Notamacropus eugenii: one gene and its partners. The protein of the gene in region 4 interacts with the protein of the main gene of each other region in a pairwise test. Links are inferred from orthologs where the notes say so. Each region holds a gene or a part of one and is shown on either strand. Other genes may lie near its edges. The genes, in order: NANOS2, AMPD2, PSMB10 and CCNDBP1.

The links.
Region 1: the proteins of CCNDBP1 (region 4) and NANOS2 interact in binary tests that used the Homo sapiens proteins (3 or more experiments, as listed by UniProt). The two-hybrid records come from large-scale screens. The link is inferred for Notamacropus eugenii from reciprocal best matches to the Homo sapiens genes CCNDBP1 and NANOS2.
Region 2: the proteins of CCNDBP1 (region 4) and AMPD2 interact in binary tests that used the Homo sapiens proteins (3 or more experiments, as listed by UniProt). The two-hybrid records come from large-scale screens. The link is inferred for Notamacropus eugenii from reciprocal best matches to the Homo sapiens genes CCNDBP1 and AMPD2.
Region 3: the proteins of CCNDBP1 (region 4) and PSMB10 interact in binary tests that used the Homo sapiens proteins (3 or more experiments, as listed by UniProt). The two-hybrid records come from large-scale screens. The link is inferred for Notamacropus eugenii from reciprocal best matches to the Homo sapiens genes CCNDBP1 and PSMB10.

The regions. Positions count from the first base shown.
Region 1 is NC_092876.1:27,901,471-27,908,038, reverse strand, and holds NANOS2 (nanos homolog 2), read left to right. Parts: upstream 1-4,096; 5' UTR 4,097-4,172; coding exon 4,173-4,576; intron 4,577-5,091; coding exon 5,092-5,098; 3' UTR 5,099-5,843; downstream 5,844-6,568. UniProt on the Homo sapiens protein: Plays a key role in the sexual differentiation of germ cells by promoting the male fate but suppressing the female fate. Represses the female fate pathways by suppressing meiosis, which in turn results in the promotion of the male fate.
Region 2 is NC_092873.1:287,838,169-287,845,405, reverse strand, and holds the start of AMPD2 (AMP deaminase 2), read right to left. Parts: upstream 3,292-7,237; 5' UTR 2,191-3,291; coding exon 2,103-2,190; intron 1-2,102. UniProt on the Homo sapiens protein: AMP deaminase plays a critical role in energy metabolism. Catalyzes the deamination of AMP to IMP and plays an important role in the purine nucleotide cycle.
Region 3 is NC_092872.1:696,332,675-696,340,424, forward strand, and holds the start of PSMB10 (proteasome subunit beta type-10), read right to left. Parts: upstream 3,310-7,750; 5' UTR 2,928-3,309; coding exon 2,872-2,927; intron 2,545-2,871; coding exon 2,457-2,544; intron 2,308-2,456; coding exon 2,210-2,307; intron 1,858-2,209; coding exon 1,717-1,857; intron 1,530-1,716; coding exon 1,414-1,529; intron 645-1,413; coding exon 586-644; intron 1-585. Other genes in the region: LCAT (phosphatidylcholine-sterol acyltransferase), read right to left, coding at 7,613-7,750. UniProt on the Homo sapiens protein: The proteasome is a multicatalytic proteinase complex which is characterized by its ability to cleave peptides with Arg, Phe, Tyr, Leu, and Glu adjacent to the leaving group at neutral or slightly basic pH.
Region 4 is NC_092878.1:29,699,930-29,707,544, forward strand, and holds the start of CCNDBP1 (cyclin-D1-binding protein 1), read left to right. Parts: upstream 1-4,583; coding exon 4,584-4,932; coding exon of another isoform or gene 4,933-4,939; intron 4,940-5,048; coding exon 5,049-5,108; intron 5,109-5,312; coding exon 5,313-5,392; intron 5,393-6,640; coding exon 6,641-6,722; intron 6,723-7,016; coding exon 7,017-7,113; intron 7,114-7,280; coding exon 7,281-7,354; intron 7,355-7,615. Other genes in the region: TMEM62 (transmembrane protein 62), read left to right, coding at 3,841-4,173. UniProt on the Homo sapiens protein: May negatively regulate cell cycle progression. May act at least in part via inhibition of the cyclin-D1/CDK4 complex, thereby preventing phosphorylation of RB1 and blocking E2F-dependent transcription.

The DNA of each region.
Region 1 (6,568 bases), on a different chromosome or scaffold from region 4:
GCCGGATGCACTTCCCCGTCCCCCCACGGAAACAAACCCCCTCTGGGGTTCAATAAACTTCTCTCCGGGGCTGGGACCCCCTCTGATTCCCAAATGTTTGTTTCCTCGGGCGTGAAGAGCTTTCGAGTGGGAGGGGGAGAGAGACGGGGATGGAGAGGCGTCTAACGTGGGTCGGGTCCTAACTGGGAAAGCCAGCGGGAGATACAGGTCCGGAGATAAGGAGGCGGGGGTCCGAGAGAGGAGGGGCTATCCAAGGGATTAGCCCTAGAGAAGAGGGAAGCCCAGGTTGGAAGAGTAGGAGTAGGGGCGGGGCCCATGAGGTACAGGTTTGGTTCTCCCGCCAGGCATTCGAGGATCAAGGATGGGGGCTATGGGATTCGAATTGGGAGAAGCCGGGTCCCTCAGGTCTCCTGAGGCGAGGCCCATTTTGACTGAGCCAGGAGCAAGAACTGGGGGCGGGGGCCGGGACGGAGGCGGGGGGCCGGCTTGGGGCAGTAGGTGGGAGCGGTAACTGTTAACCAGGCCTGGGACAGGAAGATCCCAAATGTAGCTAGCAGGTCCACCCCTACCCCAATTCCAATAAATATCCACTGGCCTCAATCCCGCCAGCTCCAGTCACAGAGCACTCAGCACAGAAGCCAGCAATGGCCAGTGTTACTGCACTCTCTTCCCTTCTTCTAGTTCTAACCTTTAGTCTCCTTTCTGTTTCTCCATCCTTCCAACCTTCATCCCTGTCGTTCAGTTTCTTAGTGAGGTGGAAGGAGCTCTAAACTGAATAGGAGTTCTGTCTGTCTCCCTGTGTAACCTTGGGTCACCCTCTCTCCCTCTTTCAGCTTGAGTTTCCCCCTCTTGTCAAGGGGAGGGGTTTCCTGCCTCACCTCCCTTAGAGGCCTGATGAGACTAGATGGACAGGTGTGTGTATGGGGCGGGGGTGGAAGGGGGGAGGAGTACTGAACTTCCGCTGTCCAAATAGAATGTTTTTATCTGAGAAGGGGGGTTAAGGGAGGCCGAAAATGAAGGCCGAAAGTGAGCCTAGAAACTGGATGTGGATCTTTGGCCTGAAGTCAAAGATTTTCGGGTTCAGATACCGTGAGAGTGTTAGAGCCGGTGTTATGGGGCTTAGGTCAGAGAATGTGGTGTGGATGTCAGAGTCCAACTGGCCCCTTCATTTTACTGATGGCCAAACTGAAATCCAGAAGAGGGGTGCCTGTGGGGGAAGAAGGGGCGGGAGGGATGCCAGTGTATGGTAGTCTAAGGGGGAGAAGGGGGAGCAGTCCCCTTGAAAACTCATGAATGCAAGGGCGGCATAGAGCTAGACCTGGTTTTGTCTCCCTCAGCTTTAACCCTTCCAGAGAAAAATTTTCCCAGTTTCTCTCACTTCTTTTTCTGCCCCTCCGCCTGTGTGTGTGGTTTTTTTTCCTCTTTGTCCTCATTTGAGGGTCATAGAATTTAAACCATCAGGTCGTCCAATTCCTCTAGGACTCTTATTTCCATCTCTAGTTCTGTCCCTATGTCTATTTCTCCATATTTTTTCCATTAATCTAAACCTCTCTCCATCTAGTTCAATCCAATTATCATGAATTAAGTTTAAGGCAATGAGGAGAGAGCCAAAATAAGTAGTTCTTGTTTCAAGTAGCTTACATTTTTTCCCATCTCCATTATCTGCCTTTCCATCTCTGTCTTCCTCCATCAACTTCTTTCCATTTATAACTTTTTTTCTCTTGTTTTGCTCTGTCTTTTTCTATATCTCTGTAACCTCATCTTTCAAACTAGTACCTCTGGTGTAAGGACTTGCTGAGGCTGGTCATTTGCCTTTGGTGTACACCTGTCACCCAACTCTCCCCTGTGACTCCAAGAAGCTGTAGCATATGCAGTGACCCACACCCATACAACCCTCTCAACAGATGAGCTAAACCAGAGTGAGGGTAACCTAGGGATCTCAAACCCATCAGTAAGTTAGGGGAATGACTACCCCAAGTAGGTGAACACTTCCCCTGGTAGAATTGCAAACAGTTTGTTCCAACAACCACAAAAGAGGAGGAAGCAGGCACTTAGAACTAGGTCAGGCATCAAAGATGCCAAGGTTGTCCACTGCATCTAGAATCACCGCCATCCTGACTTTTGTCCTGCCACTGAACTTGATGACTCAGGAAGACAGGTCGACGACTTTGTGCAGCTCTGTGTCACTTAAATCCAATTCATGCACCAGTCAAGACATCACCCCGTGATGTCACTGGTCCTCTTCAAAAGATAAAGGACAAACATCTTCCAAACTACTGTGTCTCTTTTCTCTTCCCCTCTAAGACCACAGATTTAAAACTAGAGAGAACCTTAGACACCATCTCAACAAAATCCTTAATTTTACCAAAAAAAAAAAAAAAGCCTAGATTTGTCTTTTAATCTGTGTATCTATCACCTTCCATCCCTTTCTCTGTCTTCGTATCTTTTTTTTTTTACTGTCTTCATTTTTCTCTGAATTTCTCACCTTCTGTACTTTGGTCCTTTTGTCATATAAACCTAAACCTGTTAGGTTTTCCTGTCTCTTCCTCTGTATTGGCTTGATCTTCTCTCTGTCTCTCTGTCTCTGTCTCTCTGTCTCTGTCTCTCTCTGTCTCTCTCTGTCTCTGTCTCTCTCTCTCTCTCTCTCTCTCTCTCTGTTTCCACACCTATCTTTCTATTCTGACCTGTTTCCTCTCCAGACTTTTTTCTGACTTGTTCTTTTTCTTTCCTCCCTGTTTGCTCTCAGGGCTTCACACCAACAATCTTTGAAGATGGGGGTGTTTTCCCCTTTCTTGGTGCTAAGCTTAGTGCTTGTGGACTGGCTGACGAACTTTTCTTCCAGGTAAAACCCAGAGTTGGGTCATTGAGTAGAGCTGAGTATCGCCTGTAATGGGGCCTGAAGTATCAGAACCAGGGCACTTGGAGCCCAAGACTGATCCCCAACATGGGCTGAAACCCAGTATTTCTGTCTTGGAGCACACTATGCCAATAATGATCCCATCTCCTGGGCTCCCCAGCTTGCCCAAGCAGAGATTCACTGATCTAGGGCTGTCGAGCTGAAGAGAAAGGCAAGGAGATGGAGATGGGAGACTGAGAGGCAGCCTCTTTCTTGCCTGACACCAAAGAAGACTGAAACTGACATAGATGGGAAGAACCCAAAAGGGAGGGGGAAACCCAGAGAGGCACCCCCAACCCTTCTATCATGACTGCTTCTGATTGGCTTAGGGAGGGAGTCAGGTTCAAGTAAACAAAGCTAGTAAATTTCTCATCAATTTCATCTTGTTTTCTTCTCCAAAGGTGTGTTTATGCGAAGAGCAAAAGGGATGAGGAGGGGGAGTCCCTAGGCTCATCCTGTGCCTGCATCCTTCCCTAGTAGGAAAGCGGGGAGGGGAGGACAGTGAAACCTGCCACACAATTTTTTCTAATTCTCACCATGACTTCCCACCCGCCTATAATGAAAGGAAATCCCACAATCATAGACAAAAAGATTAGAATCAGACTCAGGGGACAGAAAAACAGTAGCACTCATAAAACAACATAATTAGCAGAATCATTGCTGTGTGGCTTTAGGACAGAACTTGTACCTCTCTGGCTCTGTTTTCCCCTTCTTGTAAAATAAGTCAGAGTGGAAGATCTCTGGTTTTGCCTTTCATTACATGGGCAAATCCCACCCAGTAAGAGCCCTGGCTACTCCTTCTGTGACTCTGGACAAGCCCTTTCTCTCCCTTTGGGACTCCTCTCCCTCCAGCTCTGGTATTCAGTGTTATGAGGACCCTTATCATAGTGCTATTCCAGTAGACTGGAATTCCAAAAGATTGAGTTTAGTATAACCCTATGATGTCACAGGAAAGAAATCCCAAGCCCAGAGAGGGCAAGTGATTTGCCCAAGGTCACACAGCAAACTGGTTGTGCACCAGGAACTGAAACTCAGGCTCTCTCCCTCTCACCAGGTGTTCCCTTGCTGGGTCTCAGTGGGGGGTAGGGGTGGGGGCAGAGGAAGAGAGTGGGCCCTTTAAATTGAAAGCTCCTCCTTTGCCTTTGGAGGTCTCCAGCCACCCTATAAAAGGCACCCCCCTACCCTGCTTCCAACTCCACACTGCTCCAGACAGCAACGACCCTCCTGCCCCCACCCCTCTACCCCCTCAACAGTCTGCTGGCCACATCAGGCACCCATGCAGCTGCCGGCCCCTTTTGATATGTGGAAAGACTATTTGAATCTGAACAAGATCCTATGGGAGATAATCTCGGACCAAGGGGGTTCTGGGGGTGGGGAGAGGTCCAGCCAGGAGGTGGAGGCTGGGCAGGTGAGGCAGGAGGCAGCTGGGGGCCCAGGGGCTCCTATATCTCTCTGCAACTTCTGCAAACACAACGGGGAGTCCCGCCATGTGTACACCTCTCACCTGCTGAAGACTCCAGAGGGTGTGGTTGTCTGTCCCATCCTTCGCCATTACGTCTGCCCACTGTGTGGAGCCACTGGGGGCCTGGCCCACACCCTCAAGTACTGCCCTCTCAATGGTGGCCAGCAGTCCCTGTACCGACGGAGTGGACGAAACTCAGCCGGAAGAAAGGTCAAGCGGTGAGGAAAGATCTGGGCCTCCTCTTCTGGACCCTTCCAGGACCACCCCTCCAGGACTTCCCTGGGCCTTGCCCCATCCCAGCAATTTCTCTCTCCCTGGGGCTGGTTCTCCCAACCTCAGGGAATGCTCAGCTCCTGACACCTCCCAACTCCAAGTTGACCTTATCCCAGGGATATCTCAGCCCCTGGACATTCCCAATTCCCTGGGGGCTGGTCCCCTCTTCTCTCTCCAAGACCTTCCCTTAGACTCATCCTACCTTAGGGAGTTCTGAGTCCCTGAAACCCTGCCCCCATTCCCAGTTCAGTATGTCCTGGAGAATCTGCAGTCCTGGAACTCCCCCATTCCTGGATGACCCTGATCACCGGCCCCCTTGTCACACCCAACTAATCCCACACCCAGGATTTCTCAGTTCCTGGAATCCTCTACTCCCACTTTGTCTTAGCCCTGGGAAACCCTCCCCTCTGGATCTCCCCAACCCTTTCCCACTATCCCTGCTAACCCCCAAATTCCCTAGACATTAAGGAATCCTGAGGAGCCACAGACCTCTCAGCGTGAAGCATCCATGAGACCGAGACTGTACCAGCTTCTGTCTCCACCTGCCTGCACAGCCTGCCTTCGACATTTCCTTTGGCTACTGTCTCCGCCTTGAATGAAGACCCTCTCTACAGACCTCAGCACCCCAGCACTCAGCACATGCCCTTGAAGATTACCAGATGATGCCTCTCCTGTTGGGGCCCTTGCATAACACTTCTGAGTCTCAGGGGGTGACCAGCTCCTGGAGATGATGTTGGGGGGTCCCCAAATGCCTGGGTGTGCTCACTGCTGTCTCCCCACACACACACACCCTGGTCTAGCTCCAGAAGAATAGCTTGGCATAGGACTGGGGCTGGGGGATTGTAGGGGGGAAGAGAAAGACTTTCTTATATTGTTCTCGTGCATCTTTTTCTATATACAGTTGTTGGCTCCTGCAGCCCTACCTGCCTCCCTACCTGGGCCCCAGAGCACTCAGTGGGCAGTTCTGTCCCCCCACCCTGAAAAGCCCCCTCATTACCCAAGGGGAAAGTGGACTAGCTCTCTACAGTTTTCTGAAGCCTAGAAGGAGGAAGGCCTGATCAATGTAACTGGGGTGGGAATGAGAGGGGCTGCTGAGGATTGGAAGTTCTTCAATAATGTTTTTTAGGGGATGGAGGGAAGAAGCCAAAATAAGCAGATTTTATGTTGTTGATTTTTGTTCAGAGCTGGAATAAATGACCAGAATTCTTGAAATTTCTTCTCATTGTGTTTTTCTGGAAGGGTTAAGGAGAAAGTAAAACCATCTTCCCCTAGAACCAGGGTCACCCCAAGTCACACCAATCTGTCCTCCCTCTTCAGTGACTTTTGCCTTCCCCCTCCCCCAAATCCCTGTCTCCTCATCTTGGGTCTTCATTTGTCCACACTCAGCACAGGCTCCCAGGCCCCAGACTTCCTTCTCTACAATCAAGCTTGGACCCCATCCCTCAGGGACCTTGCCTGACTCCCTGAATCTCAGACTTGAAAGGCCCCCGTGGTAACTGGCTCATGTGTCTCTGGTAAAGAATTCCCACTCCAATATATCAGATGGTCACCAAGCTTTTACTTGGGGACTTCAGGGAGGGGCTGCCCATCTAGCTCTGGTTAAATATGAATATTAGGGGGGGTATTTATGACCACTAAACCAAAATATGCCTCGCTGCAATGAGTTTGCCGTTCTTGGGGAGGAATGAGGCAGAGTGAGCCTTTGTTGGTTATGTTGCAGTACAGTTCTTCTAGGGGAAAAGTTCTCCAACTTTTGGGACTTACCACCCTTTCACATTCTTAAAAATTATCGAGGGTCCCTCCTGAAGAGCCTTTGATTCTGACGGTTATATCTACAAATGGTGACTGTATTACAAACTAAGATGTCTTAGTATTACTGCGAAAATAGTTTTGAACTCATGGATCCCTTAAAGGAATCTCAGCAGAACTCCAGGACT
Region 2 (7,237 bases), on a different chromosome or scaffold from region 4:
CCATGAAGTCGCTCTATGACTCACAGAATCACGTAATCTCAAGAGTGGGAAGACTAAATGTCATCCAGCCTAACCTGTCTTTGAACAAGAATTACCTCTGAAGCCATCTGAACAAGTGTCTGCCAGAACCTCAAGGCGGTCAGGTGGCACAGTAGGTAGGGAGCTGGGCCTGGAGGCGGGAACGCTCCAGTTCAAATCCGACCTCTGAGACTTACTAGCTATGTGACCCTGGGCAAATCACTTAGCCTGCCTCCATTTCCCCATCCGTAAAGTGGGGGTGATAATAGCAACTGTTGTGGGTATAAAACAGCTTATTTGTAAAGCACTATAAATGGTAACTACTAATGAATGCAAATTGGCAATCTGAGAGTCTACGTGAGCTATTGAAGTTTCTTCCCCAGGGTGAAAAAAAAAAATAAGGAGAAGAGATTGTATAGAATACAAGCTGTACCACAGGCAAACAGCAACCCTGGCCTTCTGGGACACCCAGCTGTCTCCAGAAATCCTGGCCCCTATCCTGAGAGTTTGCTATTAATTAGGCAACCCTGCCTATTTAAACCTCACAGGCAGCCTCTTCTCTCCACTGAGAAATTAAGTCAGATAAAATCTGGTTGGATCTGAAACCAAGCCACTGCAAAAGACTTCCTTGGACACACCTCTTGACCCAGCAAGATGGAGCCCCCAACAGCCGTCTGCCCTTCAGGTCGGTTTCCTGACCAGGCCTCTTCCCAAGGCTTTGTACTTCTTACCAACTCAGCAAGCTGACAGGTCTATACCTGAGTTTCCCAAAGATATCAGGGTGGGGAAAAAGCTGTACCCTACTACCACACAGAGTTGGCACAAACCTAGTGACCTGTGGGGGCTCAAACATAGGCAGCATCCCCTCCTGGCTGAGCAGATGTAAGCCCCCCACCCCAGGGAGCCAGATAACCCCAATGGTGGTGCAGTCCTGAGCATCCCTAGAGGTAGGTCATTCCTGGCAGAGGATCCCTGAGGGTCAGCGCATCCACGGCAAGGACATCAATCTGAGCATTCCTGCTGGGCCTCAACACCTCAAAGCACCCTTTGGGGTGCAGGGCCCTCAGTCAACACCATGATGACCATCAATTATATGGACCAGGACATTCCTGAAGATAGTACATTCAACCATGGGATAAGAGCAAGCAGCTCTTTGTTGGGGACAGGGGGATCCTCAGCAAACTTGTGAATATAAGTAAACGTATCCACTATATGCAGCAATGTGGGCACCAAAGTGGGAGGCCAGCCAGGAACCTCTCGGCAATGCCACAGACACAGGAATCCCTTGGTCACCTTCCCTGAATGGTGCAATGTGCCTGCCGGGGCAGGAACAGGAACAAGAGAAGATAGAAAAAGGCTGTCTGCTGAAAGCCAGCATGCTCACATGTACACACATGTATGTTCACACATGTATGTTCACAGACTCAGGGGAACCCTCAGGGGTGACTGATCCCACCCTCACATACAGGAACATTCTTCCAGGGTCACAGGCAGATGTTCCAAGGGTCATCAAGCCCATGAGCACAGAGACATCGTTACAGGCACGCCCCGAGACAGAACAGTTAAAAACAGATGGACATGCAACCAACACATCCTCCTCCAGTCCCCTTGGAATCCAGAATGGAAGCTGGGGGACACAGGGGTTCACGGAAAGGTAGGCTATGAGGAAGAAAAAGCACAAGGGCCTCACCACCTCCCAGTGTGGCAAGCCCTTGCAGCTCAAATACACGGGCACATCCCATTCATTCACACACTCCACGCTGTTTGGGACACTTCCACAACCAGACAGATGCACGTGTGTACACGCACAAATCCCAGGATGTTCTTCCTACACGTAAATACCGGTGCAAAGAAAGGTTCCTCGGCAGGACAGGGTTCAGAACCAAACACAGCACCAGCAAACAAAAAAGTCCCTCTCCCTTCTCCAGGGATAGCTCTCTAAAGGCCTCCCACTGTCCCGGAACCACCTTGGCCCCCACCCTCATCACCCCCTCGCCACTGGGCACTGGGAATGCCCCCTGTGGGGTGGGCCAGCCGCGTATCTGGCCAGGAGCCGGGGGCTGGCCTGGGGGCCCCAGACTCACCTGGGGCATTGGCTACCTGCAGACTGGCCCGCTTCTTAAAGGGGTATTTGGCCTTGGGCTTCCCTGGTGACGCCGGGGAGGATGCCATGGCTGTGGCCTCGGCTGGCAGACGGGACCCGGCTCCGCCACATCCAAGCCCTTCCTCCGCCCCGCCTCTCCTCTCCTCCGCCCGCCCCCGACGGGGAGTGACTGAGGCAGGAAGCTAAGCCCAGCCCGGCCCGGCGGCGGAAGAGGCCCAGGCCAGGATTTCTACGGTTGCCAAGGCAACCCGAGAGCGCCCTGCCAGCGCGCCCCCCTCCCTCCCAGACCCAAGCCCCTGGGATGGCGCAACTGACGTCTAGCCGGGGGAGGAAAAGGAGAGGAGGGAGGCTGGGGGGGGAGCTGGGGAAGCCAGGGCCATCCGGAGCCCCCCGACCTCGGCCACGTGCTTAGAACTCGGTCCCTTCGCCGCAGTCGGGTCGGATCCGCGGATCTTCCCCGGCGAGGCTGGGCCGGTTCTCACTGCGGGTAACCAGAGGGCCGATGCCTGGCCACGTGGGCACAAGTCCGTCCGGAGCTGGGCCCTTCCTTGGGTGGGTGGGTTTCACTTTCATTTTGTTTTCCTTGGGGGTGGGGGAGGAGGATTCTGGGACATCTGCCCCGTCGGGGAAGGACCGGGGGCGGGGGGCACCTCATGCAGCTCGGTTTCCCGGAGGAGGGGAGGCGGCCTGGGCTGAGTGCCCCTCGGTGCTTCGGGCCCGGAGCCCCCCACCACCGCCTCCTTCACTAGTCCGGCTCCTCCCCGCCCGGACCTGGAGCTCACCACGTGGGGGAAGGGGACGCCCCCTCCCCCGGCCCTGGGAACCGAGCCAGCCCCCTCCTCCCGAGGCTGCGGCTGCACGAACCTCACAACCCGGTGTCGGGGAACTCTGGGTTCTTAAAAAATGTTGGTAACGATATTTCAAAAATTAAATTTAATAAAAATTACCCCCAAAATTATTTCCTTTGAGATGCTTTGTGTTTGTTAGTCCCGTAAGACCGCGAGCTTCCTGGGTCGCCCTTCCACGATGGAGGGGGGCCCGGGGTCCCACCTAAGCGCGGAGGCGGGATGCGAGCGCGGCGGCCCCAAGCTCACCCCCGCCCCCTCCCCCCCGGAGGGCAGAGGCAGGAGGCAGGGGCGGCGGGAGGCAGGGGCAGGACCCAACCGGGCTAACCCCGGGCCCACGCGCCGGCCCCGCCGTTACCACACTCACCTGCTGCCATGCCGGCGGGGAAGGCGGGAGGAGGAGCTGCCCGGGGGTCGGGGCCCACAGCGGGGGATCGCGGGGGCGGGCGGAGCACGTGCTGCCCGCGGAGCTGGGGACCTGGGCCTACCCCGGAACTGGCCGAGAACCGGACTTTTCCCTCCGCCGCCCGCGGACTCCGACCCGGGCTGGGGGCGGGGCAGAAGCGGAGAACCGCCAAAAACAAAAACGAAAAAGCCCCAAAGCTGCCCCGGCTCCGGCCCCCGCCCCAGCCCGCCTCCCTCTGGACTAGGGTCACGTGGGCTGCTCTCGGACCCGGAGCGGGCGGGGCCGGCTCTCGGGGGATACTCTCGGGAGTCCGTCCCCAGCCTCAGTGAAAGGAGGGGGAGGACCGATGATGTGCCGAGCCACGTCCGGCTGCAAGCGCGGGCCGGGCACCCCCCGCCAGAGGCCCGGAGGCCCGGAGGCCCGCGCTCCCGAGCCGGGCCTTCCCTAGACACGCCCAGGTCCGGCCGCCCGCGAGGATGAGCGGAGCCGCCCCCCGGGGAGCAGAAGCCCCCAGCACGCCCCCTTTGCGGCTGGGGAAGGGTCCGGGGCAGAGGCTGGTGCCAGTTTTGCCAGTCCTGCCGCCACCCCAGCCGTCTTGTCAGCGCAGACTTCCGGGCCCTGGGCGGGGTCAGGTAGAAGTCCCACGGTCTTCCAGGGAAAGGACTCGGGTGTGAGTGCGGGTGGGAGCGGACTGTTCTCTTCTTTCTCCTCTTTGTGGAGAATACGGCAGTATGTCTGATAGGGTGGTACACATGTACAGCCTACACCAGGTTGCTTGCCATCTTGGGGAAGGGAGGGGGGGAGAGGGAGAAAAAACTTGCCACTCAAAATCTTGTAAAGTGAATTGTTTTTTGGGAGGGGGAAGTCAAGGCAGTCGGAGTTAAGGGACTTGCCCAAGGTCACACAGCTATGAAAACTATCTTTACATGTAAGGAAAAAATAAAATACTATTGGGGGAAAATAAATAAAGGGTTTTTTTTAAGTAAAAAGGTCATTTGTCCAAGATGCTGCAGGGAGGATTCAGATGAAGTGATTATCAGACTTCTAAATAAACCACACAGATGAGCGCATAGTGGCTGTTTGTCCTTCTGTTTTGGAGAGGTGATACCTTGACCTGTGTGTGAACTGGATAGAGAGCAGGCAGAGTTAAACCAAGTCCTCAGCCTTACTCCAGTGGTAGGACAAAAGTCAAGAAGACTGGTAACGTGGCTGACCCTGGAGTCTTTGAGGGCTGACCACGTTCTAACTGCTCCACAGGAGCTGCTTCAGCCACCTTCCTAGCTGTTGAAACATTGTCCTCATTCTGCAGGGGGATCTTCACCATCCCGCTAACTCCAGTACCTTTGAGGTCTGTCAGTTAGCTTCAACCTTGTTTAGCCCTTCTGCCAAGTCAGTGTACCAGGGTATGACTACTGTGCAAGCTACAGCTTCTTGGAGCAACTGGTGAGAAGTGTATGAACCAGGTAGACCCAAAAGGTAGATAAGCACCCCTGAAAAGGACTCAGCAAATCCTCACCCCAGAGATGCTGTCAGGCCTCCTGGAATACCCCATACATCCCCCAAACATGCATAGTAGGCATTCATTGAATTTTTCACCGAATAACTGAATCCAAGAGTTGGAACGGACCTCAGAATCCACAGTCAGATCCATAATGCAACAAGAATCCTTTCTACAACATTCTAAATGATTACCCACTTCTGTTTGAAGGAGGCAGGCTTCTACTTGAAACTCTCCATGAAAGGAAACCCATTATACCTCCATAAGTACCCATTCCAGTATTTTATATCTGTAATTGTTAGAAGATCTCACTTGGCCCCTCATTCTGTGTATTAGTGCCAAGCCAGCCTTTCAAATACTTGAAGATTGACATCATGTCTATTAGCTGTCTACCTAATACTAAGGTCTTGTCTCCAAGTTAAACATTCCCGGTTCCTTAGATTGATCCTTCATGAACTGAAGGTCCCTCATCATCCTAGTGGGATGTTCAGTTCCTACAGTACTCTGAATATGGCCTGATCAGGAAAGGCATAAGATAGGGTCTAGACTTACTTTATTGGTTATAGGAAACTTCCAGATGAGGAAACACCTTCTACAATGCAAGGTCAGCACTTTCTGGACAACTTACATACAGTCTTAGAGAGTGCACTGAAAGGTTGTTGACTCCTCTAGGGTCACACATTCTGCAAAACAACCATTACCTCTTGTTCTGTTCACAGCCTAGGTGATTGAGAACATCCTTGGAGCTAAAAGCATTAGTTTTTTGGGTTTCCATGTCACACTATTAATTTCCTTTGTGGAATGAACAAATGGACTCAGTGACCCTGTAATTTTAGACGCACTTATCACTGGCAGTAATGATAACTGCTACTAACAAAAACCACTCTTTTTCAGTTTCTGTAGCAACCATAGACCTTTGCAATACCCTCCCCCCACCCCCAAACACAGTTGGGTTACTAATTTGTTTCCAGATCGATTTTAACTCCACCCTCTTCTCACCTGCCCCTACTGACAGTTGTTCAGGTTCTGGCCAACTGTGTGTTGTTACTTTCAACAAACATCCATTCCCTCAAATTCTGTCCCTAATCCTACCCTTAGCTCAATTTCTCTTTAGGACAAATTTTTATAGCCATGGGCTCCAGGGTCCCCACATCTGCCTTAAAGTAAGCAGTGCTTAATTTGGGAACTCATCAGGGCAGGGTGGCACTGGGGCAAGAGCACTGGGTAGTGAATCAGGAGGGTTGGGTTCAAGTCCTCATTATTATATTAACTTGTTTTTTAAATTTAATTTTATTTTATTCTGAACCAAGAAGTAAAACAAGCATAGTAGAATATGAAAAGAAGGTTGTACATGAAACAGCAAACCTATCACATACAACTTACTATTTCTTTTAAATAGTTAATAAAGTTGTCATGTAACTCTTTTTCTTTTTTTTCCATTTTCTTCCCTTCCCCTTAGCTACCATCAGTCATTCTATACATATTCTATTTACCAGTTGTTTCTCTAGAGGTAGACAGCATCCTTTTTAAAAATTTCACATATATATATATTAATCAGCACCTAACCCAACTTAATAACTAAAGAAAAATGAGCCCCATTACAAACACATAGAGTCAATCAAAATAAATGTCCATATTAGCCATATCCAAAAACAAAATTTATCTCATTCTGCACCTTGAGTCCTTCACCTGGTCTATCCAACCTTTTTTGTATAAATGTTTACTTGTGCACCTTAACTATATGAGATAACTTTCCTTTCCCTTCTCCCTCCCAGTGTATTCCTGTTCCCCTTCCATTTCTCATAGTTCTCATGTCTTTTCTAATTTTTTCCTCAAGCACTCTCATTTCATTTATAAAAACATTTTTTCATTTTTCTTTTTAAATTCCTTTCATTCCTTCTAAGAATTCTGGTTTAAGTTTGTGCCCAAGCTGAGTTTTCCCTTGGCCTTGCTTGTAGATGTGGCCACTTTCCTATGGATATACTCCTGTATGTAAATACCCTGAGATTAGATTTTTTTCCCCTCCCTCCCTCTATTTCCCCCCTCCCTCCCCACTCCCTCCCTGAGACTTCTGGAGGGAAGGTCTTGGCTGGTCTTGTTGCTTCTTTTTTGTGGTATTGAGTGTTATTATTCCAGGATCTCAGGAACAGACCGGGGACCTGCAAACTTTCAGAGTTTCCAAAGTGGTCTAGTCCAGGGCAAAGTTCTGGACTGTCCACCTCATCTGGGTTCTACAAGCTCCCAAGCCTGGGTTTCAGGCTGAATAGTAGAATGGAGATGGCCAGCTGGGTAGTTCTGCTGATTCAGAGTGACAGAACTGCAGGATCCCCTTTGGTCCAGATGTCCTGCCCTGGTTATCCTTCTGC
Region 3 (7,750 bases), on a different chromosome or scaffold from region 4:
ATGTCATTGCCAGGCGGCCTTAAGAGCATCTGGTCATAATCTCAGCCTTGCCCCAATGAACCTAGCTCTGCTACTGGAAACAAACAGTCCCTATGAACTCCCCCCACCCAAGCCCTATAGTCCATCTACAGTTCTCCCACTCTCTCCAATCTAATGGGGAACACACACAAACACTTTAAGGTTGGCGGTGTTTTACACCTTAGGAGCAGGCTGCCTTCTCTTCACATTTCTAAGCTGTTCTGTGCTTTCCCACTCATTAGCTCCCTAAGGCATTCTCATTTCCAGGCCGAGGAGGAGTCTACCTCTCAGCTCATTTACAGAAAAGGGGAGGCGGTAGACGGGGTCCTGAGCTCAGCGCAGCCCCCAGGTTCTCAGCCAGGCCCAGGGACTTGTCTTTGATGGGCTTGCAATAAGAAAACCATTCTGCACACATAGTGCAGATGGCACCAAACTGTTCCCCACCGGAAAGGAAGCTGGTTTCAGCACAACGATGGGTAGAGAGGAATGAGAAGACAGGAAGAAGCTGAGATGGGGGGAGGACGAGAAAGGTGGGTCAGGGGCAGGATGGGGGAAGGGGGCTCTCACCGTCATATTTGGTTTGAAGCGATCCTCTAGCACAGAAATGGCCGGTCCCTGTCCAGAGCCTTTTGGAAGGTGAGGGAGGACAGCAGTAGTGAGCATTGTTAGGTCCTAGGCAACCTCCCTCAGCTTTCTCCCCTTTCCACAATTCCTTAAGACACATCTCCTGCTGCCACATACACACAGGACTGGGAGGGCTATTTATTGGAAGGGGGGTGAAGGGTGGAGTGGGTGAATATCCTTGGGGACATTTGGTCTCAGAGGTCTGGGCTATTAATAATTAGTAATAATATTAATTATTAATAATAGCTAGTATTTATGTAGCACTAAAGTTCAGAAAGCACGCAGTATCTCACTTGGATCCTCACATTAACCCTGTGAAATAAGGTGCTATTAATTAACCCATCTCTATAGATGAGGAAACCAAGGCCAGGTGAGGCTGGGCAAGTCACTTGCCTAGGTCACCCAACTAGTGAGACAAGGATTCCTGACTCCAAGTCTAATGACTGTCTTCATTGTGCTACCTAGCCATGGAAGTTACATTGGAGCAGATTTAGAATGAATGGAAAGAAACCCTTCCCAACAATCATTGGTGTCCTGTCTAAGGAAGAAAAGTGAAGAGTTGAAGTTGGAGGCCCTGGATTTGTCTTGACTTTTCTTTTTACTTTTTATGTGACCTTGGGCCAATTTCCCAAGGTCTCTGAGCCTCAGTTTTCTCACTATAAAATCAGGATATGGACTAGGTGGCCTCTGGGTGTTTTCTAACCAACATCCTGTGACTCTGTGAGTCTGGGGGTGGGAGGACGTCTGTCTGATTAGGGGTCAGGGACTCACCCATAGCAGTGAAAAGGAGATGGCTGTAAGAGCCATGGGGATGTACGCTGTAGAGATGGGGGCCTGTGATATCCACTCCCCCTACAATGAGGGAGGCCCCAATATGGCCCTGGTAGCTGTAGGGAGAAATCTCATCATTTCCTCTCTCCACGCCCAGGGTCCCCAAGCCAGCCCCATCTCCCTCCAGCTCTTGCCTCCCACCCCATTTATCTTCTTGTCCCCATCCCAAGGATGCACTCCATCTGCCTCCTTCCCAGATCTCTCAAATTCTTTTTAACCTCCCCTCCCCAGCTCCCACTGCACCGGAAGAGCATCTGGCGGAGCATTCGTGAGACAGTGGCCACCCGTGGTTTCCGGCCGGTGGACAAAGCATGTAGTTCCATGTTGGACGCCATTATCTGTGTGGTCATCTCTGCATCTGCTGCCACTCCTGCCCCACAGCAGCTGAGGGGAGAGTCAGCATTAGAGAAAGAGACTTGTAGAGGAGAGGGTCAAGCTAGACTAGGGTTGGGGTGGTCTGGGGGGTGAAGGCTGGAGCAAAAGGTCAACTAGTAGGAATTATGGAGAAAGCATTGAGTTTGGAACCAGAGGTCTTGTTTATTTGTTTGTTTGTTTTTTAATCAGTTCTGCCAATAGCTCATTTCCTCCCCTGTGCACTCAGTTTCCTGAGTAGAATAAGAGGGTTGGCCTAATGATGGCTCCCTCCAGCTCTAATTCCTGTGTACTAAGGAGGAGGTAGCTGGGGATATATGGGGGAGATGTTGGGCAGGGAGGTGAGATAGGAAAGGTGACTCACTAGATGTTGGGGGCGATGAAGTGGATTTTTTCACAGTTCTTATCGACCACAACCGAATCGTCGGTGGCCCGGGTGTCTGACCCAAGGATGACTCCCTCCTAGAAGAGAGGTCAGGGCTTAGTTCCAGACCTCAGTACCCTACTAGCCCCATCTCTACACTTCCCCCAAAATCAATCCCCTCACCCACCGCCCCCCACCAGCTGATCTGTCCCTCTCATTCCCGACCCATCTCCCCCCGCCCCCTCACCTGAAACACGAGGCCAGCGATGGTGGTACCAGTTTTACGGGCATGGGGAACATGGAGTCCTTTTAGGGAAGATTCCAGAAATGCATTTCTGGGGTGTGGGAAAAGGAAGAAAAGACACTCTGGAGCCAGGAACCACACCAGAGGGGTCTTTCTAGCTCCTTGAACATATGCCCTTTCTGTCCAGTTTAGGATTCTTCATGGCTTTCCTCCTTCCCTCTGCTCCCAGACCTTTCATCTACGAATTTCATCAGGCCCCTCAAGAGTTCCCCCATCCCCTCCCCCATTTAGCTAGTTTCACTTTTCTTTTCCATTCCCAGAACTTCAAAGTCTTCAGAGAGGGGGATCAGGGACAGCCTAACCTCTCCGCTCCCCAATCCTGGGCCAGGCCCCTCGTGTCAGCCGGGCTTCCTCTTACCTCTGGCAGTTTTCGAAGGAGAAGCCCCCCTGGGGCTCACAGGCAGAGTGCAGCATGGTCTGAGCTGGGTGGACGTGAGGCACTCCGCAGGTGTGCCAAAGAGGCTAGACAGGCTGGGGAGGTCAGGAGGGGGCAGGGAGGTGCTGGGGTGGGGGCTCCTGCAGGACCTCGAGGGGACTTTGTGTGGCTGATTTGGACGCTTCCTTTTCTTGTAACTTCAGCTTTCACTTTCACCTTAGCTACTGCAGGAGGAGGGGCGGGGATTGGGGTAGGGGGGTGGAGGAAGGTGGGAAGCAGGGAGGCTGCCTGAGCTCTTCTGGGGCATCCTCCCCTCCCCACCCTTTCCCTTTCCCCACATTCCATCCCTAGTGAAGAAACAGTAAACACAGGCGCTCCCTGCTTCCTATTTACCCCTGCCACCATTACTGAGGACTTTTCGAGAGAGGGGACAGAGGAGCCCCTGCTGCGATTGGTGACCCTGGGAGGTAGCTCTGCCCTTCATTGGTTATGCTAATGACTCACAGGGTGGCCTTAGGAGAACTAATCTTGCCTCTCTCCTTATCTGAAAATGAGGGGTTAAAACTGATCTCTGAGGTCCCTTCTGCCTCAGACGGTCTAAGATTCTTATCCTGTCCAAATGTTCATTCCCCTTCCCCTTCTCTGCCCCCTTCTCCATCAAGCATTGATATTGGTCCTAAGTACAATGAAGCTGAATCTAGGAGTCAGGATGGAAACAGTGTATGTTCCCACAGGGACAGAGAGCACAGTCAGTGACTGTTAGTTACATCCTCCTCAGGAGACGTCACTGGGGAGATCAGTGGTCTCAGATTGTTCAAACTGGGATGCTTCCTTCGGATCCATCCTGGTGATAATTAAAATAACTTGCGTATATCCATATATATGTACATGTGTACACACATATATACATAGGTATGGGTATGGGTGTGTGTGTGTGTGTGTGTGTGTGTGTGTGTGTGTATATATATAATTTTAAGGTTTACAAGGAGAGGTAGGTGCCATTATTATTCCCATTTATAGGGGAGGAAACTGAAGTTAAAAGACTTGCCTAGAGTCACACAGCTGTTATCCAAGGGGACATTTGAACTCAGGTCTTCCTGAAGCCTAGTCCAGTGCCTGTCCACTGTGACACCTGACTGATCTTCTATGTCCTCAAACCACTTGAGAGAGTAAAAATCACTAAGGAAAAGTGGCTTACCCCTCTCTCCATCTCTCCCTCTCCCTCTCCCTCTCTCTCTCCCTTTCTCTCTCTCTCTCCCTGTCCCTCTCTCTCTCTCTCTCCCCGTCCCTCTCTCTTTCCATCTCTCTCTCTCTCTCCCTCTCCCTCTGCCTCTCTGCCTCTCTCTCCCTGCCTCCTCCCCTCCTCTCCCTCTTCTCTCACTCTCATCTTCACTCTCTCTTTATTACTGACTTCCCCCACACCACTATGGACATGCCCACATCTCCACTAGCTTGAGAAAAAAACCTTTACTTAGCTTTATTATCCCCTCAAACCACTGGCCTAACTCTCATCCACCTGTCTCAGCTAAGTGCTAGAAAAAGATGTCTATACTTGTTGCCTTTACTAGCTGACTTTGCCCCTTTGTGGTCTGGCTTCCTGTGGCACCACTTAATGGAAACCTCTTTCTCCCAGGTTAACTGATAGATCAGACAACCGTTGCTTATTCAGTTTTAGAAGAACCATTACCTTTGTGACACCCCTGCCCAAAGTAGGCTCGTGTGGTTTCCTGAAGGATGACGCTGTAGTGTGGCATACATCAGGGAGACATGACTTGGCAGGGGAAACTCAGAAGATCAAGGCGAATTCCAGAGAAGGTGAGATCTCTTAAATGGCTAATGGGAGTCCCTACAGCTTCCAACCTGTGAAGAAAACTGCCCCCACCTCCAATATGAAAACCACTTTGTAGTACAGTTTGAATCTGGTACTGCTAGGCCCCCATCCTTCACATTTTTTTCACTGATGCCCTGGTTATTCTTACCTTTTGTTCTTCCTGATTAATTTAGTTACTGTTTTTCCTTGCTCTATACAACAATTCTTTGGTAGTTTGGCTTGGCACTGGATAGGTAAATTAATTTAGGTAGAATTGTCATTTTTATTATATTGGGTCAATCCACCCATAAACAATGAATATTTTCTAATTGTTTATATTTGTCTTCATTTGTGTAAAAAGTGTTTTGTAATTGTGCTCATGTACAACGCTGTATTGGCAGGTAGGCTCCCAAGTATAACTACAGTGTCTATAGTTATTCTAAGTGGCATTGTTCTGTCTCCTTCTGCTTGGTTTTATTAATAACATATAGACATGCTAATAATTTATGTGGGTTTATTTTATATTCTGCAACTTTGCTAAAGTTGTTAATTGTTTCAACTAGTTTTTTAGTTGATTCTCTAAATATAGCGTCATGATCATCTGCAAGGAGTTACAGCTTTATTTCCTCATTGTCTGTTTTTAGTCCTTCCATTTCCTTTTCTTATTTGGTAGCTATAGCTAGTAATTCTGATACAATATTGAATTATATTCATTCCTGGGGACATCCTTGCCTTACCCCTGATCTCATCAGAAAGACTTCTAGCTTATCCCCATTACAGATAATGCTTGCTTTTCATTTTAGATAGGTACTTATTATTGCAAAAAAGACTCCATTTATTCCTATGCTTTCTATTATTTTTAATAAGAATAGGTGTTGTATTTTGAAAAATATATAATTACTTTAAAAAATGAAATGAGAACCAGAACAATTTACACAGTAACAGCACTAGTGTAAAGAACGTAAACTGTGAAAGGCTTAGTAACTGATCAACCATGATACCAAAGGACTCATGATTAAACATGCTATCCACTTCCAGTCTGAGAGCTGGTGGACTCTGAATGCAGATGGAAACATATGTTCTTTTCCTTCCTTTTTAAAATCTTGGACATAGTTAATGCAAGAATTAGTTTTGCATGATTATGTACATTTGTAATGAGTTTTATTTTTCTTGGTTTCTCAATGAATGAGAGAGTGGGAGAGAGAATTCAGAACTGAAAATAAAATGAAATTGAATTTTAAAAATGTATGATGAAGTGTCCTAGAAATAAAGCAGGGAGGCCATGAACCAGGTACTGAACTCATTTAGAAAGGAGGGAGAATGTCTTGGGGATTGATAGATAATGGCTACCAGAATCTTGATTGGGTAATACATTTTGATTGAACAAACTTCAAGGATGAAGAGGTTCCTTGAGTGATTGTGATAGAAAATCTGGAAGTGGCATTTGGGAGCAAGGAATATTTTGATTCTTTACCATGACCAGTGAGTCTGGGGGTAAGAGAGAGAGTGAAATCAGTACTGAAAAGGTGGTCAGAGATGCAGGGACATACAGAAGGAGTCAGGTCTCAGGGAGAGCTAGAAGATGGCAAGAGAAAAAGTTTAAGATGAAAGGAAGTTTGTGAATCATGGACAAAAATTCCATAGAGAGCATGATGGAAAGGGCAAGCAGCTCTAGAATAGGACACTGGGAGGGGAGAGTTGAAGTGAATGAGACTGTTGTTTTTCCTTCATTCTTGAAGAGGACCAATGACATCAGGAAAGTGATGCCAGGACATGCAAGTGAATTGGATTTAAGTGAGGCAGGGCTGTGCAAAGTTACCAGCCTCACTTTCTCCTCTGGAGCCCTCTGAGTCCAGTGGCCAGATATAGATCAGGATAACTGAAGATGGCCCTGGATGCACTGTGAGGCCTTGGCCCTTTTAAGCTCCAGTCTTTCCCAGGTCTCAGTTTGTCTGAGGCAACACCCATTCAGTGATTAAGGCTAGGTAAGAAATGAGGCAAAGAATGGCCTCTTTTACCTACTCAAACAAACAAACAAAAAAATCAATCTGGGAGAGGAAAACCAAAACTGGGACAATTAATTCTTTTGCCCCATGTAGTTTCATCTGTGTAGTTTCAGATTTCTTAAAATACAGCACTAGAAAACCAGGCTTTGATAAAGTCTATCGGGATTCAAATGGAGCTACATGACTGTGCCTTAAACCCAAATCACTCTGGCTCTCACTGACTGACAACAAAAGGTCCCAGCTCAAGCCTCACTTGGTCAATGTTTAGGTTTTGGTAGTTCTGAGTGAGGATGGGAATGAGGGTGCAGATAATTGAGGTTGTGGAGGTTTATTCTTATGAAATTGGTGGTTCAGAATCACAGGGATGGAGGGCTTCAGTGTAGAAGGCTGCAGAAAACTGATGAAGGATGAGGGCTACAAAAAAAGAAAACATTAGATCTTGACATTGAACATTGTGACAACTTTTATAGCATGCATTTCCAATCATGTGGTGAGGTTAGAAGCTGGATATCACTTAGTTTTACATATGTCAATACACTTATCATGTAATATTGTTTCATAGATATACCTGTCTTATCTTCCTATATGACTATAAAAACCACAGGAATCCTTTCCCACCTAAACCTTCTCTCTCTTCCTCATCCCCCGTTGCCTATCACAGTGCTCTGCACACAATACATGCTTAATAAATGTTTATTATCGTTCTCCTCCTCCCACTTTCAGAGTCAGACTCTTTTTCCTCCCTAGTCACTCCAGAGCTGGCCTTCAAAGAAGAGGTTTTTATTCATGTCATCTGATGTCTCTCAACCCCAGGCAGGGTCTGTGGCAGAAGGGGCCCAAAGTCAGGAGCAGAGCCAAGCTTTGGAGGGATGTGGTGCCATCTGCCCTTCTGGCTATCTGGAGCAGACTACTGGCCCCTCATCTGTGGTCTGTGACCTTTTCTGTTTCTGGGGGTCGAAGCCAAGCGGGAGTCCTTGGAGGGGGCAGGGTCTGGATGGGAGTCATTGGAGGGGGTGGAGTCTGGGTGGGAGTTGTTGGGAGCTTT
Region 4 (7,615 bases):
AAAGGATCATTTTCCCCAAAACTAATTGACATATCAGCTGCTAGCAGTGTATACTCCTCCACTTCCATAAAGAAGGGAGATATATTTTCTCATTTCTTCATGCTTGCTCATTACAATTACAGAGTATTCAGTTTCTTTGTTGTTGTTGATTCCATCTACATTGTTGTAATCCAATGTTTCTCGAAGTATGTGAATTTTGTTGTGAATTTGTTGTTGTAAATTTTGCTAGGTGTGCCCCAGAATTATTGATGTTATGATATTACAGATAGTGGATAAAGAAAATAAATTATCTTCTTTAACATAAATTTTACTTATCACACACAGGAATATTCACAAAAGCAAAAAAAACACCTCATCTATTACACAAGTGTACTAATCTCAAAACATGTCAGATTTTGAACTCACAAAGAGCTCGGCAAACATGGGGTGTTCTTGAAGAGAAACTATCTGTGTACAGGTCTCCCACCCTTCCTGTAGCACTGCCACCACGCAATTCTGTGTGTTCTGAGATTCCTCCTGGTCAAACAATCCTGCCCACCTCTACCCCCCCTCCTTGCTGGCCAAGAAAAACAACTTTGCCATGAGCACTGGGGCAAGGGAAAGGAGGATGAGCATTCATTGTGCATCTGCTATGTGCCAGGCACTATGCTGTGATCTTCACAAATATGTCATTTGATCCTTGCAACAACCCTTTGAGTTAGGTGGTATTATAATACCCATTTTATAGTTGAGGAAGCCAAGGCAGACAGAAGTTAAGTGACCTGCCCAGGGTCACATAGCTAGTTAAGTGCCTGAGGTAGGATCTGAACTCAGGTCTTCTGACAGTACACTTTAATTTTCTCTAAATTGCTTCCTTATCTAGGCCAGTAGCACTACCAATGAAAAGCAGTTGCTACATATTCACGATCTTTTTTTAAGGGAAAAAAAGTTAAGAAATAAAATTTACTGATATTTTAAAATTGAAAAGTTACAAAAGTTAAATTTTATTTGGAAATCTGTGGGATATAAGTTACATTGGGATAATAATGGTTGTGCTAAAAACCTGCACCTATCTATGATATATAATTATTTTTACTATTATTTAAAATAATATCTTATTACTATCTTTTGTTTTTTAAAAATTTTGGATGTATTCTACCATACAAGTACAAAATACACCTCTCTTATAACAAGGGGAAATAGTTGAGGCCAAAAAAAAAAACTAAACCCCAAAGGCCAAATACAAAAACTCAAACCCAGTACAGGGACTACCTCCAACAATGTATGCAAATTTTCTGTTCTTCCTTTAAAGTACTCCTGCAGAGGGAGGTATGTTTCACTATCTGTTCTCTGGGACTATTATTGACTTTTTAGTTACTCAAAGTTTGGCTTCCTTTTAGAAGCACTATTATTATTAAAGAAGTTATGCATCTATAAAGAAAGTCTTTGAAGATAAATACTCTCCAGGGAGGAAAGGATTCACCTCAGATAGGGAATGACTGGTTCCTTAGTCCCATTATCTCTTCCTCTTTTCTGTATTCTCTTTATGGGGCATATTGAACCAGAAAAGGCATTTTAGTGGTTCTTAGATAATAGGAGCCACTAGATATTTGAACCTTAAAGGTAATAATGAAGGTTGCTGAAGCAAACACCAACCAACACATAAAGCTTATACAGAAATATTATCCAGAAAGCAGACGGAACTCTTCCTCCTCTTAGTTTCTGTACTTTCCTTTTCCATGCCTAAGCTCATCCATTACCTAAGAATGAAGAGAAAATAAAAACATTTAGATGTACAAATGTTACCTTAATGTGACCCAGGGGACTGAGAGACCAAGGGGCATTACAGTGAAATGGAAAATTTAAGTCACAACGCTATTTGGAGATAGATGTGTGTACATGGGAAATATGTAAAGTAATTCATTACATTTTTACTCGTTAAAGTATTATTTCATTGAATGACATCAAAAACAAGCCTAGAAGTTCTCAGGCCTGAAGCTATCCTTGACCCTTTTTTCTTCCTCAGTTCACATAGCCAGTCAGTTGCTTTTCAGTCATATCTGACTCTTTGTGACCCCCATTTGGGGTTTTCTTTTTTTGTTGTTTGTTTGTTTATTAATTTTTAGTTTTCAACATTCATTTCCACATGATTTTGAGTTCCAAATTTTCTCTCAATCTCTTCCCTCCCCCCACCTCAAATGCTATGCATTCTGATTACCCCTTCCCCCAGTCTGCCCTCCCTTTTATCATCCCCCTTCCTGTCGACTTTCCAGCTGGTCTTGGTCTGGAGATTTGTTTTTCTCTGTCATTTTGTGGGTTCCAAAGCTCTAGAATTTGTTTAAAGTCATTTTTTTTAAAACAGGTATTTGGAGGGCTTTGTAGGAATAGTTCAAGCAAGTCCCTGCTTTTACTCCGCCATCTTGGCTTCATCCCTCCATCTGGGGTTTTCTTGGCAAAGATACTGGAGTAGTTTGCCATTTCCTTTTCCAGCTCATTTGACAGATAAGGAAACTGAGGCAAACAAGTCTAAGTGACTTGTCACACAGCTAATAAGTGTCTGAGCCCAGATTTGACCGCAGGAAGATGAGTCTTCCTGAATCCATGCCTGGTGCCACTGTACCACCTAGTTGCCCCAATCAGTTAAATCTTATTTCATAAATCCATCTATTTCTGTCTACTCATACAATCTGTACCCATATTACCTCTTAGACTAGTAAAAGTAGTCTCTAATTATTCTTCCTGCCTCATTCCACCCCACCCCCATCTCTTCTACAATCCAACCTCTACATACAGCTGCCATATTGATATTCATAGAACAGATTAGATCATATTTTCCTGCCTCCCTCTAGTTAATAAAGTCTTCATCTTTAGCCTGGCATTTAAAATCCTCCACAATCTGACTCCCACCTTTTTTCCATCTTATTTCATATTTCATATTACTCCCCTTAAGTATTTTCTGTTCTGGTGAAATTGGCCTTCTATACCAGAGGTGGGAAACCAGTGGCCTTGAGGCCAGATTCTGTTTTCAAAGGTCCGCACTCGAGGACCTAGAGGGCCACATGTGGCTTTGAGGCCACAGGTTCCCTACTCCTGCTACACATAACATTCTATCTCCTAACTGAGCTCTTGCATAACTTATAATAGCTGACATTTTCATAGTAAATGGCATCTATCCTCTCATTTGACCCTCATAACAACCTTGCGTGAGAGGTTCTGTTTACTATCCACATTTTACAAATGAGAAAACTAGAGCTAAGAGGGGTTAAGTGGATTGCTCAGGGTCCGAAATGGTGCCTATCTGAGGAGGGATTTAAACCCTTGGGGTCCACCACTACCTTCAAGGCCACGTGGCCTGGCCTCCCTTTCACCTCCACCTTGTACAGTCCCTACCTGCCTCCCTGGTGCCCTCTCCTAAATGAGGTCTCTCCCCTTGGCAAACTCCTGGAGGGCAAGAATGCTGCCTCCCTATGCATGTCCAACCTGGCATGGTGCCGGGCACGTGGTGGGCACGTAACCTCTCAGTCCCAGGGCACGTTCCCTGCTGCTGTCAGAATGAAGATCCTGCGGGTTTGGTTGCCTTGGTGAGAATTCAGATGATGAACGTGTGATGATGAAAACAGAATTTGGTGTGAAAGGATTTTCTAGTTCACAGAGAAAAGCAGTTTTCTTATTGGCGAAGTGACCAACCCTGATCCTCTCTGCTGACGGAGCGCTCGGGCCTGGTGAGTGTCTGGGCCGGCACCAGGCCTGCGGCACGTGCGGGGCAGCCCGTCCAGTCCTCGGTGACACTCCCGGGAGATAAGCCGGACTCTGCCCGGGGCCGTTCGCCAGACCGCTGGTAATCCTTGTTTCCTTTTCCAGATCTTTACAGTGATCATACCCCTCTCCGCCTACCTGTGCTGGACGCTGCTGCTGCGCTGCCAGGGCCACACCTTCTCCACTCACCTGCGGGGCAGATACCTCAAGGCCGTGCCCGGCCACGCGCTCGCGGGGCTCTTCTACCTCTGCCACCTGGGCTGCTGCGTCCTGCTCTGGAAGGCCTACGGCACCACGGCGCTCGTCTTCTCCCCCACGTACGGCTGGCTGGCGCTGCTGGCCCCCATCCTCGTTCGTCTGGCCTGGACCCTGAGCCCCAGGGAGCTCAGAGCCTTCGCCGTGGAGCTGCGAAGCCACCAGGGCCCCGACAGGCAGTGACCCAAAGGCCGCCGCGAGCGGCCGAGCGTGGGCCTGCCCGGCCGCGGCCCTCCGGAGGCCGACCGGGCGGCGGGTCCCGCTGCGGCTGGGGCGGCCGGCGGGCTGGTTCCCTCAGAGCGAGTCTCCAAACGTGGCCCCGATTAATGCTGTGCTTGCTGATTCTGCTGCTTACCCCATGGAAGCAAAGCCATGAACTGAACTGTGGAATGGAAATGCCGCACCGGGAGGGCGCCTTCCGGGGGAGGCCGGGAGCGGGATCGGGGGTGCGGGGCTCGGACCCGAGGCCCTTCCGGCCGCGTCGGGCCCACCCCGGCGCCCGCCCCACGTGGCTTGTAGATGGTTTAATTGAACTTCCGGTTTTCTAGGCTCTCCGCCTCCACTGGAGGGACTGTTTAAAACTAATCAAATAAATGAATAAGCTGTTTGCGGTCCAGAGCTCTATCTCGGTCGAGGGGCGGAGACAAGGGGGAGGGAGAACACCCATTGGTCACCGGGCACCTCAGACACGCCCACCGTCCGGTAGCGGGAGGCGGAGCCGGCTCCTCAGTCTGTTGCCGGAAGCGGGCAGAGAGCGCCGGAAGTTGAGGTCTAGGGCTTCCGTTCCGGAAGTTGCAGGCGGTTTACGGGAGCGCCGACTGAGCGGCTGCTGGTGCTGTGAAGCTCGGCGCGATGGATCTCGGGGCGGCGGGACCGAGCCCGGAGGAGCCCGTGGCGCAGCTGCGGAGGCTCATCGGGGTGCTGCGCTCCTTACTGCCGCGGGTGCGGGGTGAGGGCCTGGGCTGCGGCGGGAGGGGCCCGGGGCGGGGGCCGGGGCCGGGGCCGGAGTCCGGGCCCCTTCTTTCCCTTCTCTCACGAGCCGCCCCGTCCCTCCGCAGACGGCGAGGCCCGGAAGACCGCGGAGGCGTTCGATGCGCACAGATTTTGGGACCAGCTCGGTGAGTGAGGCCCGCCTCTGGCGTTTGGGAGGGTCCGCAGCTCCCTCCTGGGCGCCGGGACACCGCGGCCCGGGAGACGGGAGGGCAACCGGAGCCGGGGGCGGCGGCCCGGGAGGGTGGGGATATGGGCCGCGGCCCAGCCCGGACCCGTGCCCCTTCTCGGCGCCCGCCGCCGCCTCCCCCATCGAGCCTTTCCTCCCCCAGGCCAGAGGGCCTTGGCCGTGTCCCAGGAAGCCACGAAGCTGAGCCTGGCCTTCGCGAGACCGCCCCTGCCTTCCCCCGAGGTGGGTTTGCCCCGGGCCCGTGGGCCGCCCCTTTTCTCTTCCCCTGCTTTTGTCTAGAACCAAAGGCAGCTGAGCCCCCAGGTTTCTACCGAGCCAGGTACCCCAGGTGGGGTAAGGTTATCCGCAAGCTTCCCCTGCTGTTCGTTTCCATGAAAGGAAGTCTGTGCATAGACTGTAGTCTATAAGTATGTATGTATGCATATACATATACACACGTACACATGGACACACACATCAAGATTCGATATATCTGTTTTTTTCCACTTTCACCTCACCTGCAGTGATGAACTTGTCCAAGTCTGCCCCTTTCATGCCAGCAGTAAGTTGAAATGATGGATAGGAAAGTGCCTGAGTTCCCTGGATAAAAAGCAGACCATAAATACAGGATAATGATAGTGGGGTTTTTCCCCCCAAAAATTTCCTCTTTCTAAAATTTTTATAGCGTACTTGGAAAATCCTAGAGACATCATGAATTAACAGTGTAACATCATTTTATGTAGATATCTATATAGCAAATATGGATATTCATTTCAGTGTTTTTCTTCACTCCAGGGTGAAAAGTAAAAGTAGGATTTAGTTTCCAGTCGATTTTAATGCTACGTCTCCATATAGTTTACAGTGTTATGTGTGCGTGCCTGTTCTCTAATCATAATTTGTTTGGATGTATAAGCTTCTAGAAGTCTGGAACGTTTTTAACTTAAATCCCTTTATTTATAGGAACTTAACAAAATAGACTCGAAAATTGTGTTCTGAAATCACAACGTGTTAAGCATATGGGGAAGAGGAGAAAGAAATGTGTTTTAGTCTGATATTTTTTTATTGCTTAATATGAACTGAGTGCTAAAGTGAAAGAATTATAGCACTGAATTAATTTTGTGCGTATAGAATTAAGAGCAGGAGATCACTGAAAGACTCACTGTAGGAAAATAGACGTGAGGAGTATTAGATCTCTTCTAGTAACCCTCTGGTTTAAGTTGGGATTCCCCAAAAGTAGGCTGTCCAAAATTTTGGTGTGTGTGATTCAGAGTAGGTTCTCAGCATCCTGAAACAGTGTTAACTCTTTCTCTTTCATACAATAGATATTTTGTTGACTGGGGTGTATGGGTGTTCAGTATCCAAACCCTGGATAGTATTGAGTAGGTGATCAGTAAATGCTTGATAGATAATGATGAAGTTCTCTAGGGCAGTTGCTTTTCATCATGTCACTCTTAATTTCCTCATTTTGGAATGGATCTGTGTTTTTTGTAGGACTGCAGGAAACTCTGTGAAAGTATCCAGAATGCTGTGTTGGCAGAGGTTTCTACATACTACTGGCTTCCCAAAGATCAAGGTAACCTGCTTTGCACACGTAGATACTTAAGTATTCAAGATATAATTTTTGAATGAGTGAGTGAAAGCTCTAGCAGGATTCTTGTGCCGGATCTCTTTTGGGCAGAACACTATTACCTTTCTAGTCAGAAAACTACAAATTAATGGGATTGATGAGCAGTAGGAAGGACAAGGCAGGTCATTTGTGAAGTGTAGGTACTGCCTGCTACCCTGCAGCGTATAGACTATCTGCTCAAAGAAAACGATTTCTCCCTGAAAGACCTCTAGGATGCTTAAAATTTGGCTTTGGTTGCAGGCATCACATTACGAAAAATGGTTCGAGATACCATTGTGGATGTAGTGGAGGGGATGGCCCAGCTTGCAGAGGTGATCGTCAGAGCTCGACCTCAATGGTAATGACCTAGTTCTAGTTGTTACTTTGTGGGACTCATAGTGCCTGGGAAGGAAGGAAAACCCCTGTGAATTTTCTTTTGGGCATCAGGATGGGTCAGTCAGGAAGGATACTTTTTAGGAGATAGGGATTTGAGTTGTTGATATCCTCATTGTTTTTGCTCTTTAGCATATCACACGAGTATCTAATATCAACTGGCAGTATCTGGGAAACATGTGACCAGGTGTCTCACCTCCCAAAAGGTGAGTGAGGTAGTGGGAGGTGTGGTGATGATTGTATTCAGCTATATGAGAGGGAATGGGTGCTTTTCACATCTCACTTCCAGTTTTGTAGCATTCATAATGTAATCCAGATTTAACAAGTAAGAGACTTTTAAAAAATTAGCTGTCACTGCTGAAAGTTAGAAAAAGGAGATTTGATGTTACTGTCTTCTCAATTATTATTCCTTTCTCAATGCCCCAAATTACCCTCTCCCTTCTGTGCAAATTCCATTAGGGAATTTT